Linked DNA regions of Oryzias latipes. The protein of the gene in region 2 interacts with the protein of the main gene of each other region in a pairwise test. Links are inferred from orthologs where the notes say so. Each region holds a gene or a part of one and is shown on either strand. Other genes may lie near its edges.

Region 1 (4,294 bases), about 12 Mb from region 2:
GTGGGACATCCTACGGTGTAGCACAAGTGGGCACTGAGGCTGGTCACAGAGCACAGGGCTGCAAAAATAAATAAAAATGATTTTAGGCAAATACGGTCCTTATAAGCAGTAATAAATCAAAGGTGAGCAAACTATTTGCTGTAAACATGACTGGTGTATAATTTGATGTAAACAGAAGAAAACTTCAAGCAGTTCATAAGTGAAACAAATAGAATAATAAAAAATATTTTTCGAATGGACAAAATGAACGTATATATTTCACTGAAGTTTTTGGTGCTACAGATAAACTGCATAGGGCTGCTTCAGAGCTGTTCCTAGTTTATCGTCAGTTCCAAAGCTAGAGAACCTGCTGACACATGAGCTACATATACATGTAGTACTTCAAATTTGATAATATGTCAGCATCATAGAAACTGACCTTTTTCAGATCTTCAAATAGTTATTATATATGGAAACAAAAAAGCTGATTTGCTGAGGTGACTCCTTAAGGGAAAAGAATGGAAACAAAGTCAAAATTAAACATTTACAAAAAAGGAAATAGAAGCACAACGTTGATTTATTCAGTTAAAAAAGGAGCTGAACTAAATCAACAGGACATGGGTATATCAGTTATTTTTAAACATTATTCAACCTTTAAATACATTTAGAAAAATGTCAAAAAAGTCATGAATAGTTTAAAACGAAAGCTCCAAAACTAGAAAATATAGAAAAGAAAAAAAAAACTAGCTTTTGTAAGCAAAACGGACAATTATGTTTTTAAAATAATCACATAACCCTATAATTGTGAATGATGCCTACAATATTTTCAATATAAAATAACATTTCATATAAAACACAGGCAAATTAAAAATATAGTTAGTTCAAGGTTAGGGGGGAGTGACTTTTTTTCAGAAAGTTTGTTATCAAACCTAGATGACAAACCCAACACGTAAAAAAATAGTAAATCAGGTAGTTCTCCAAATACGTGCGGTCAGCCCTAAACTTTTGTCTTGGCCATACAGAACCAGAGGAAGGACTAAGGTCAGGATTACAGTTGTGGTTAGGGTTAAACCACCAAACAGATCCTGAGTGTGGCTCTCCGCTCCTCCAGGGGATGGATCAAATTTGGGAACACATTTAACACACCTTGGTTTGTGACAGATAATGGGAGTTTAAACTTTAAGTTTAATAACACGTGCGGCCAACAACAAAATGCAACCTTGGACACCTATAAAATATGGGCGGGCAATGTAGCAAGGCGCATCTTGGCTGCACGTATTAGCCAACATGAATTTCCATCACTTTTTGTACAAAAACATTTTTTACATTTGAAATGAAAATAAATAAAAGTATTATATAAAAAAATAAAGCATAAAATTACACGTTTGCTTTTTTTCTACGAAGAAGATATCTGAAAGGAGATACAAGCGGTCATTAAGATGAATACAACTACCAAAAATCAAGAAGTTATGTAATGATATTGAAAGGCAGAGAGAGAAAAAAACAGTGCTGTACCATTATAAGTCGTGAAAAATGTTTGCAGTTTCTTTGACACAACTAGCATAGAGAACTGATGGTCTAACAAAACAAAAGGATCCCCCTTGAGCTCTGGGCAATGCCAAAACACAACTTGGATTAAATAGATGAAAACACGACAACCTATAAAGGATGCTGAGGGATGTTGGACAGACCAGCAATCACTATGAGTGGCTGTACTATTTAATAGTCAGAAAACTAGGTTTCTAGAAAAAGCTGAAACAGAACTACCGACAGCTAAGTGTCAAAGCGGGTGTTGTACATCTCTAGTGGCTTGACAGAGTTTTACACGTCACGTTTGACGCTTAGGAGAAAATAGGTGCGTTTCTCTATGAATATAACCCTGTTGAATAACTCGGATAGTTAACTCGGTCTCTACGTGACAGCATCGCTTAAGACAGATGGGCTTAATTACAACCTCAGATTGATAAACATAAACAAAATTAAGTTACATTAACGCAACACCAGCATTTTAGGTGATTGGTTGATAGCCTCCTGCTACTGACGTTTATTATATAGTATCATTGATTGTTTCGCAGACATCACCGTGTTAAAGAAAAATACAGAGATAACCCTGCGTGTGACTTTAGCTGCGTGGAGACAGACTGGCTCTGTCTTCTGGATCGTACATTATCGTGACAGATGTTTTTTTGACTAACGTTGAGCTAAGCTAACGTTAGCAACAAATTGGTACAGAACGCCGGTTCGACTGCTGGCGGGTATCCAGTTATGTTGTAAACGTGACTAGAGAAACAAAACACACGAAACACAAATCAAGCAATGACACGAAACAGAAAGAAAGAAAGAAAAATAAATGGCAATGACGTTTGCTGTAGACAGAAAAAAAATGACAGCTTGGGTAATGCTATGCGTTTAGCTTGAATGCTAGTAGTTAACGATAGAAGTACAAGGTTTTGGAGCCTATCTAACGTTGCGGCCTACACAAGCTAATATCTGCAGACAAATTGCTTGTACAGTGAACAGCTGACAGTGCTCCAAGTGCACCAATATTACCTGGACAGCAATTCTGAAATCTTGACAAAACTCTCCTGTCGGCGAGAGCTCGTAACATGCACACCCGCCCTTTATTTACTGAGATAGGAAGGAACTCGAGCTAGCGGTCTTGGCTAATGTTAGCGTTACTTACCCTGTCCGTATTTAGCTTAGGATTCCACTCCAAAGGAGTCACACCAAATTGGGCGGGGACTAAAAGCCAATCTAACAGAAAAGTCACAATTTATCTAAATGGACACTTAATATAACAGTAGTTGTGCTGTTCTGCTGTAATTAAAAGGTTGTAAAGATGTTTTGCCCCTTTCTTTTCTTGGTATTGTTGAGACAAATTACGCTCAAACCACCATCTTAGCTAGCATTATAGTAGGGAGGAGGGAGCGGGGCAAACATTCGGTGCCATTGAGCCTGCGCAATAGAACAGATGCTTTGTGGGAGATGGAGTTTACATGCTTCTTTTGCTTTAACATGATCCAACCCCGATTTTGCGAAATAAAAAAAAATGAAAAAGTAAAAACATTTGGAAGATGTAGATGATTTTTTTAATTGATTCATCAACAAAACAATACCAAAATATAAAAGACAGAGAATAGTCACCAATTGCTTTACAATATGATAATAATTACCATAATCCCAGCTGTTCAAATAATTATAAAACAAAACATCAAACAAAAGCCCTGGTTCTAAAATCTCAACATCAAGGTTTAGTTTTAATTATTTGTGCTGTTTTAAATGGCTGCATGATTTCCAGACACTTATAGCACTTACTGTATGTCTGCAACATTTTCATCTGACTTTTTTAAGAGTACCGGTATATAGGTTTTATATTAGCAGGTGTCGGCTAAAGTACATTTTTGAACTTGAAATCTATCTGCTTAAAGTCCTTTACACCCATAACCCACAACTTTAACATATTTGATTTATTACCTTATTTACCTTATTTATCAATGTGATAAAATGACAATAAAGATTCCTGATTCCTGATTTATTACACCATTGTGGACAAAGCACTTTTATGCATTAGTTTACTTAGTTACAATCAAATTTAACTATTAAAAGTTAAAAGGCTAAAACTTTAAAAACAAATAAATAAATGGCTTAAACAATCAGAGAAGTACACCCTTGTCTATCCAGAAAAAACTTGGTGCTGGCCAATTCATTTGTTTTAGTTTTGTAGGATCTACGGAATCCACACTGAGCATTGGAGATATGGGGTGCGGCGATGCCAGGGACATCTTTGCAGCCAGAAGACCCATTCGCACACAGTCGTCTGTGTCTTTTCCCTGGATAATTCCTGCTATCAAGGCACCTGCAAAACTGCAAAAACAACAAAGACATGATCAAGTTCTTTAACATGTTGCGATGACAGAAAGAAACATGAAACATTTATAAACTTTCCCAGTGAATTTAATTTACTGAATATGAAAAACAAATGGATATTTACATTTCTTTTTAAAGATGACTGATTTGGTATTTAAATTAATGAGTACTAGGCAAAATATCACATAGTAGCAAAGGGAATGAGGAAAAGGAACTGAAAATAGAAAAAGTAAATATTTTGCACCTATCTCCGGCTCCTGACACATTCACTGTCTCCTCTGGGGACACATTTAGAGCTGGGTAGTGCACTGCACAAAGCTGCCTTTTCTGCAAAAAACAAAAAGGCAGCAGAAATATTTCCACCATGCTGATTCAGGAGTTATCTCTATAGCTGAGATGAATAACTGCTCACTTTCTTCTGTTTTCTCAGCTGCAGGTTGACTGAGTC
Region 2 (3,623 bases):
TAAGAAATGTGAACCGACAAACAACAGGTTACCTGCGCCAGATGCACGTCATACTGCTGCATGTTCACTAAATGGTTCCTGATCAGAAGCTCGACTGCCTCCACGTTGTATTTGTATTCATCCCGACATTCAATCAGACACCTGAAACACGCATCAGGTTACAACTTTACATTTTTCTCTGGATGCTGCTTTGTCCAACATTACCATTAAAAAGACTAGAATGAATGCAGGAAAAGCTGTGGGCCTATTTTTCCTTTACATTTAGGAACACTCAGATCTTTTGATTAAATCCAACTCTAGTTTTCTTTTTTATCTTTCTAGTTTTGTTCTTGTAGGGCAGTGTGACGGTCCGGGGAAAGGTCCCTTTACATGCTTCCATCTTTTTTTTTTCTTTCCACATGAACATTTTTGTTTAAACTCTTAAAGTTCCAACCTTTGCAGGAAAAAAGCCTCAGTATTATAGAATGAAAACTATCTGCTCGCTATTAAAGATTTATGTACAGAAAGTCATTCCTGCCATCAGATGCTACAATTCATCTGGCAGCCATGACTGTCCATGTACACGGGGGTTTTGAGAGTTCTGCTTGTACATCTTTCTTCCCTCTATATTTTGAATTTATTTTATGGCGCTGCTACAACTGAATTTCCCTACGGGGATTAATAAAGTTAATCTTAATGTAAATTGTACAGCCAATTGAGGTACAGAACACAGGACAGTGTTAAAAAATAAAGATAACAAAGCAGGCCAAATTGCACTAAAGAAAAAAAACGGTCCAACAGCAATATCTCAATAATTGAACTAGGAAATAATGAGGGACCATTGTTATTCTGATCATAGAGGTTTGATGAATTCACATCTGAGCAGCTGTTAATTGATGCTGCTACATTTTCAGTGCTTGTATAAAAACAACTGAAAAACAAAGTCATTAAGTCTGAGATTCTGTCTGATAAAAGTGATTTTAATTTGGCGACTGGCGAGAAAGGGGTTAATTCACAGGAAGCTGCAGCTCACAAATAAATTAAGATGAAGAGATAAAGCTTTGTTCACTTGGGTTGGATCTGGGTGGCCCGTCCTCTGATCATGCCTTTGGCTCTTTGCTTCTTTTCGTGTTACGGCTGAGGATAAATATTCTTATGCCTAAAGATGCTGCAACGACAGTAGTCCGATAGTTCTTTGTGTGTCTGGTTCCATGTTTGCTTCTATCTCTTGTTGCAGAGGCTTTTCCTTTCCTTTCCTGTGTGTTCATGCTCTGCTTTTGGAACTAAAGTTCTCTTTAATCAAGTTACTGCATGTGGAGTCCTGCTCCTATTTTCCTTTCTGAGCCCCCCACTTCCTGGTCTTTTTTTCCCTGAATTCCTCAAATAAAAACTATAATCGCTCCTCAGTTAAGGTAACCACATGACTGCACCACCAAGCCAGTTCAATCCCTCACCTTGTGATCTGTTTATTGCACCACTGTGGTCCATAAGCTCGTCCGTCCTGCAGGGCTTTCAGCACCAGCAGGTGGCACTCTCTGTAGCGAAGCAGCAAATCTGCATCAGCACCACTTGTAGCATCCAGGAGTCCTTCCACAGCCTGGAGGGGCAGAGCAAACAAATCGATATGAATGCGTGACTTTCAGAAGAAACATTTCTAAAGTCAGTGGAGCTCGGGTGTTTTTTGCCAGAGAGACTTGGATTGTGAAGCTGTTTTGACACAGAGCTGCAAGAGTCGCACCTTCTGCAGCAGCCCAAGAGCAGCAATGCCATCCCTGGAGTTCCTGGCCAAGGCCACGGACTCCAGCAGGCTGCGCAGAGCCTGAGTCAGAGGGTTAATGGTGAGAGTTGGAGGGATGGCGTGAAGATGCTGCTCCATGTCTGCAATTAGCTTGTCATAGATCTGAGCCACGTCATCAGTGGCCCATGCCTGTTGCTGAAACACAAGAGAGGGATGGAGTCAAAAACATGTTTCTGGTTCGTCTGTCAAAAGAAAATACAGAGCTGAATATCAAAAATAAATGTGTTTCTTTTTTCAGAAAGAAAAGGGAAAAACATTCAATATTTCAGCTTCTGAATGACGGTTAGGACTTTTTTTTTTCCTTGACGGACACAGGAAATGACCTCACCTTCATGGGTTGAGCCAGGAAGCCAGTGGGCTGTGAAAGATCGTTGCTCGGCAGGAAACCCGGGATGTTTCTGGCAAACTCCTCATAAACAGCCAGCTGTTTGGGGTCGACTCCTCCCACCTGCAACACACGAGCCCGTCGTGTCTCATAAAAACTGCTGATCAGACACAATCTCTGAAATTTTCCAGCTTTGAGAAATAAAAACGTTAAGGGGAAGAAGAAAAAAAGACGACTACTTTTAAACTACGGCTTATTTTAATGATTCATAATTAGACGTCATCATGATTTCACCTTCAGCCTGATCTGTTCAGGCATCCGCTCAGCCTGGTAGGTCAGGACAACGGGATCACAGTAGCGCCGTCCCTCCTGGCGAGCATGTTTCCTCAGCTCAAACTCCTACAGACATCAGAGTAGATGTTAAAATAGGGCTCAATTGTTTTGATAAAAATGTGAACAAAGAAATGAGAATATTTTAAATCCCTCACCGTAGCCAGCCTTTTGTCCATCTCTGGGCCAGCCTTCTCCACAGCAGTTTTCTGAATGAAGCAGCATGCCAGTTCACAGTTGTCCTGAGCGACCCTGGCTGCAGCTTCCTCCATCATTTCCCTCTGCTGGGGGGTTGGAGCCTAACAGAACCCATAAATTCAAACTCAGTGAGTTAAAAAAGAAAAGAGCAGAGAAAACAGTTTTGCGTTTCAAAAAGATTGTGCAGGAACTCGGCGTACCCGAAGCGCCGCAGCAAAGCTGTTCTTCAGATTGGTGGCGATGCTCACGAGCAGCGGCTCACGGCAGGTGATCATGGCCATGCCTGCCGTGAGGTTCCTCATCATGTGGTGGGCGGCAACACGCATGCGAGACTCTTCTGAATCCAGGGCGAAGTCCTTCCTGATGATCTGCTCGCAGGTCGTCATGGCGATTTTGATGGAGCGATCCACCACAGGGTGCACCAGCTCCTGGACCGCCCGCTCCACTGACTGCCTCACACACTGCTTCAGCTGGGGGTGCGCCTGCAGCAGAGGGATCTGACAGCAGGCAGGCACACATGAGAAACAGCAGAACTAAAGACATTGGAGATTTGGATGCTTTTTGATTTGCTTGGCCCATCTAAACCGCACAGAGACTACACATCTAATAGGATGATGCACAAACAACAGGTGGGGAGGAGCTACAGCCGACAGTTGGTACCAGCCCACAGAAACGAAACAAAAAAAAAAAACTCAACATTTTCCCGTTTTTTTTCTAATCTGATTCTGAAGGAAGTTTTATTTGGAAAGTTTTTTTTAGTAGAAAAGAGTGAGGAAAGGGAAGAAGGTCCTTTCACTTCAAACTAGGACTGGGCAATAAAACGATAATTGCATATATTGCAATACAACTTTTTCTTAATAGAAGAATGAGTCTAATGCAATTTTACTTTTATTTTGAAGTGTCTGAAAGTAACACTTGCCAGTTGCAAGCTTTTTCTCCACTTTGGTGAGTAAACGTTAGAGGGTTAGTCAACAAATGGCGAATAAACGTTTG
Region 3 (4,171 bases), on a different chromosome or scaffold from region 2:
GTCGGTCTTTTTGTCATCCTAAAATCTGAGTTTTTTTATTTCGACATCTGAAACCCTTTTTAAATGATTTAAGCATTTGCAGCAAAACTTTACCCTCAACATTTTTAAAAGCTAGAAAACTGGGAGCAGAAGAAAACGGTCAGAACTTGTGTCACGCTTTGCAAACATACAACTCTGCACACAAGAACCAAACACTCAACAATTTTATGGAGACAAAATAAGGAGTAAAACACTTTTGAGTTCAAATGTTTCACTGAGCTCCAGTAAATCTGCCGAAGTGATAGCAGCTTATGGAATTTCTGCAGCTTTGACTTAATGCAACATTTGATCACTCAGGAAATGACATCGAAAATAATACAAACTCGAGGGTTTAATAAAGAAAAAATTGATGAGTCAGTGACAAAGATCCTCCGCAGAGCTGCATATTTACAGCACGTCCTCTCATGACTGAGCTGTACGGCTCCCTGCTCCCTCTGATGTCAGGACTCCTGCTCATTTGATGGGCTTGGCCTCGGCCGGGTTCTCCCCAGTGTCCAGGGTCTTCAGAAGGCGGAAGAGGCCGGCCGCTTCACGGATGCGGCTGAACTCTATGCAGAAGGCCTGCACCTCGATGAACAGGTCCTGGACGTTGATGATCTTGTTTCGGATCAGCGACTGCAGGAAGACGCACACCAGCCGGACCAGGCGGTTCTGCAAGAATCAAGCGGGTTTTTATTCCAGAGGAAAACTCTTGAGCTCTCTTCAGCAGTTCACAGTTCCAAGAACGCGTGTTGACCTGCATGTATTTGTCTTTGATCTGCTCACACGTGGAGATGCAGTTGGAGATGTAGAGGTGGATGAATTCTGGAGGCAGATCCACAGCTGTGGTTAACCTGACGGAGGAGAGCAAACAACTCCATCACTTCCAAACTACAGAAACAGCACCAAACTGGAACCCAACTGGAGATTCGTTAACAGGTCTGAATACAGCCAAAGCCCCGCCCCCACCTGTTTACCACCTCCATGGAGTGCAGCGACATGTCCATGTTGACGAGCACTGAGAAATACTCTGTGATCTGGCTGCTCTGCATCAGTTTTAGCAGCATCTCGATGGCCACCAGTGGGTTGTTCTCCACCAGCTCAGGCAGCTTCACAGGCGTCAGGCCGATGTGATACACCAGCTTTGGGTCTTTCTCCAACTCAGCCAGCAGCTGCACACACGGCGAGGTCAATACAGAGGAGTGACAGCGGTGCACAGCAGTAGGAGTCAACGCCTCCACAAGAAATAATTTGTCTTTTAGGGAACGGACGATAAAGTTTTTGAGTGAAGGGAAAAATAAAGGTTGATTTTTTTTAAGACCACCAGAAAACTAATCCAGGAAGACAAAGGTTAAAAAAGAAACAAATACTTTTCCCACAAATTGTGTTTTTGTTTTGATAAATCTTGATTTAAAAATGAAAAAAGAGCAGATCTGAAGTTAAGTTTTTGTTTCTTTGCAAAGAACAGGAGTTCCTATTTTAAATAAAGTTTTTATTTTAACCCTGACTTTGCCTTTGTGTAAACCAAACATGTTGTTGATCAGCATCAGACCTACCTGGGACTGCTGCTGAGCCGACAGCGGACTCTTGAAGGCCTTGGCCATGATGCGTTTGATCTCCACGCCGGTGCTGTTCTTCACACACATTGACCGATCCCACTGGATGCAGTGGTCCGGCTCGGTGGGGTTCAGCCACGCCAGCTCATCTTCGCATGTGTGGAGCGGAGGCGTCGGCCGGATGAACTCGGGTCGAAAATGACCTGGGAGGGTTTTGAGAAACTGGTACTTACCATGCCTCATAGCAACACCTTCAGACAGACGGCCTTTGAACAAAGTCTAAATACTTTAATATAAAACTACTGAAAAATGACATAACTTCAGCAAAAACCTTCTAGACAGTCACTCAAACACTTTTTTTTTTAAAGTATCAGTTAAAGATCAATCGCACTCAACAGATCAGGTCGGCGCCGATCAACCTGTAACCGTGAGTTTTTGCTGAGGAGACGGCTACCATCTTTTCTGAGGAGATTCCTTCTTTCTTCCACAGATGTGATCACAGCTTGTGTGAAAAAAAGCACTTACTCTCCAGAGGAGGACGCAGCCCTGTGACCAGAGACTCAATGATCTGATTGGCCACAGAGCTGTCGAAGCCTGAGTTGGAGGAGTCTGGATCGGGGTCGTTGAGGATGCTGGGGAAGCTGGCTTTGCTCTGGGTGGGCAGCTCTGACTGGCGCTCTGCAAAAAGAGGGCTGGGATTGACGGCGTCTTCACCTGTGATGAGATGTTTCCTTACAACCTTCACTGACCTGCTAAAGGAAGCTGCAGCCCGCTGATGTCTATAGATGGGGGCATGTTGCTCACGTCCATGCAGGACACCTGTCTGGGGGTCTTTTTGAAGAGGTCTCTGGGCGGAGCCAGCATCAGCTGGGACAGGAAGAACTTCTCCGGCTGCGTGATGGGAGGAAGGAAGCCTGGACCCAACGAAACAGAGACTGAGCGGCTGCGGTTCTGATGAGACGTCGGGCTAAAGGTGAAAGGAAGCGGCCCTACCGGACAGGGCTTTCTCCTGCTCATCCCCGGAAGGTGCTGGGTTTAGCAGGTGCGCGAACACGGCGGCGAACGGGTTCGCGGCCAACGGCTCGGTTCGGTACATCTCCCAGAGCAGATAGAGGGCTGTGAGCCGCTGCGGAGAGCTGGGCAGCAGGTCCGGCTGCTGCAGCAGCATGACCAGAACCGAACCCACCTTGAAGTGGTCCGCCTTCCCAAAGTAATGATGGAAATGAGTGGAGAGGGTCTCGAAGCTGTTGTTGCAGGCCTCATCCGAGATTATGCTCAGCAGGTTGGACAGTTCCTTTGGAGCCAGAGTCATCGTTTCCCCGCCACAGTTCGATCGGATGCAGAGATTGACCGGGGTCCCTGATAAGTCTTTCTGTATAACTATAGCGGCGCTCTTACCCGCTTATTCATCTTTGAAGACGCAGAGTGGAGGACGGTGGCCCAGAAGTCATCTCGATTGAGATCCTATAACGCGGTTAGCATCAAGTTAGCCTAGCTTAAAAATAAGCTACAAAACCGGGAAACTCGTCAAAACATCAATCATCTTTTTAAAAATAATTATCCAAATAGATTAAATGAACGTATAACTTATCAATCGAACCAAAGAGTTACAAAAGATAATATTTCCAGGACTGAGAAAGAAATAAGACCCTGAATGGGATAGTGCTGCGAGCCATTAGCTTGAAGTATTTTTTAGTCGTATTTTCCGGTGAACTGCATCTTGGGTGATGTAGTTTTCTTCAGTTTCTCTCCAGTCCAGCAGGTGGAAATGGTATATGAATTATTCCTACCAAATAATCGTTCACATTTGTTTTATTTAAATAGATAGATAGAGAGGGAGAGGGAGAGAGAGAGAGTTAAGAGAAGGTAGAGATAGCAGTACTCTGCCTTTTAGGCTCAGGTAAGAGACCTAAATTAAAACCCATAAGTTAAAACGTTTTACTAGGGACTGAAATTTGAAGAACTTCTCTTATGTTCGTTTTAGGTGATGGTAATCCCTAGGTATGTTACACAGTGTTGGAGTACAATGTCTGTCACCATAGACGATCTCTGTCTGATTATGTTATTACGTAAGCATGCGCCAATTTTTTTTACGTGCAGTTGAAAATAAAAAGGAAGGCGCAGCCTCTCATCATAGTCAAGACGAAGTGAGTGGGGAGCTGCACTTCAGGTTCAGAATGAAATGTCTCCTGTGTCCATTATTTAAGAGTTAAGAAGCAAACACGGTTGTGTGTAACAGGGATGTCTTTAACGGCTTTGGCGTCGGGAGAGAGTTCCCGAGCGGCAAGAGAGACAACTGCTGCTGCTGGAGAGCCAACACACAGTTTCCATAATTTTTGGTGATAGTAATCCCTAGGTGTGTTACATGTATGTGATGGGAATTTTACATATGGATCGTGTTTTGTCAAATTTGATAGGTAGTTCTTCACATTTTTGATGTTAAGATGAAGTGCAGGGCCATTAGAAAAATCTTTTACTAGATTTAGGGCTCGGGGAATTTGACTGCCATCTTTAAAAAAAAAATGTTAATATTAATATCATCTGTATCTAGACGATCAAAAACAAGCCAGTATATGGCTAATATGTGACTGCCGGGA

Evidence for each region.
Region 1: the proteins of cnot1 (region 2) and cnot4 interact in a two-hybrid assay, tested with the Homo sapiens proteins (3 studies listed by BioGRID and IntAct, with this or other methods). The link is inferred for Oryzias latipes from reciprocal best matches to the Homo sapiens genes CNOT1 and CNOT4.
Region 3: the proteins of cnot1 (region 2) and cnot11 interact in binary tests that used the Homo sapiens proteins (3 or more experiments, as listed by UniProt). The link is inferred for Oryzias latipes from reciprocal best matches to the Homo sapiens genes CNOT1 and CNOT11.

What each region holds. Positions count from the first base shown.
Region 1 is NC_019864.2:13,395,989-13,400,282, reverse strand, and holds the start of cnot4 (CCR4-NOT transcription complex subunit 4), read right to left. Parts: upstream 2,911-4,294; 5' UTR 2,663-2,910; intron 2,653-2,662; exon of another isoform or gene 2,530-2,652; intron 441-2,529; exon of another isoform or gene 419-440; intron 59-418; 5' UTR 10-58; coding exon 1-9. Other genes in the region: pseudouridine-metabolizing bifunctional protein C1861.05, read right to left, coding at 3,633-3,843, 4,091-4,173, 4,259-4,294. UniProt on the Homo sapiens protein: Has E3 ubiquitin ligase activity, promoting ubiquitination and degradation of target proteins. Involved in activation of the JAK/STAT pathway. Catalyzes ubiquitination of methylated RBM15.
Region 2 is NC_019864.2:25,882,115-25,885,737, forward strand, and holds part of cnot1 (CCR4-NOT transcription complex subunit 1), read right to left. Parts: intron 3,128-3,623; coding exon 2,831-3,127; intron 2,732-2,830; coding exon 2,591-2,731; intron 2,502-2,590; coding exon 2,397-2,501; intron 2,226-2,396; coding exon 2,106-2,225; intron 1,913-2,105; coding exon 1,718-1,912; intron 1,577-1,717; coding exon 1,434-1,576; intron 142-1,433; coding exon 33-141; intron 1-32.
Region 3 is NC_019879.2:14,490,827-14,494,997, reverse strand, and holds cnot11 (CCR4-NOT transcription complex subunit 11), read right to left. Parts: upstream 2,887-4,171; coding exon 2,568-2,886; intron 2,489-2,567; coding exon 2,324-2,488; intron 2,253-2,323; coding exon 2,100-2,252; intron 1,778-2,099; coding exon 1,575-1,777; intron 1,191-1,574; coding exon 988-1,190; intron 873-987; coding exon 776-872; intron 691-775; coding exon 493-690; 3' UTR 186-492; downstream 1-185. UniProt on the Homo sapiens protein: Component of the CCR4-NOT complex which is one of the major cellular mRNA deadenylases and is linked to various cellular processes including bulk mRNA degradation, miRNA-mediated repression, translational repression during translational initiation and general transcription regulation.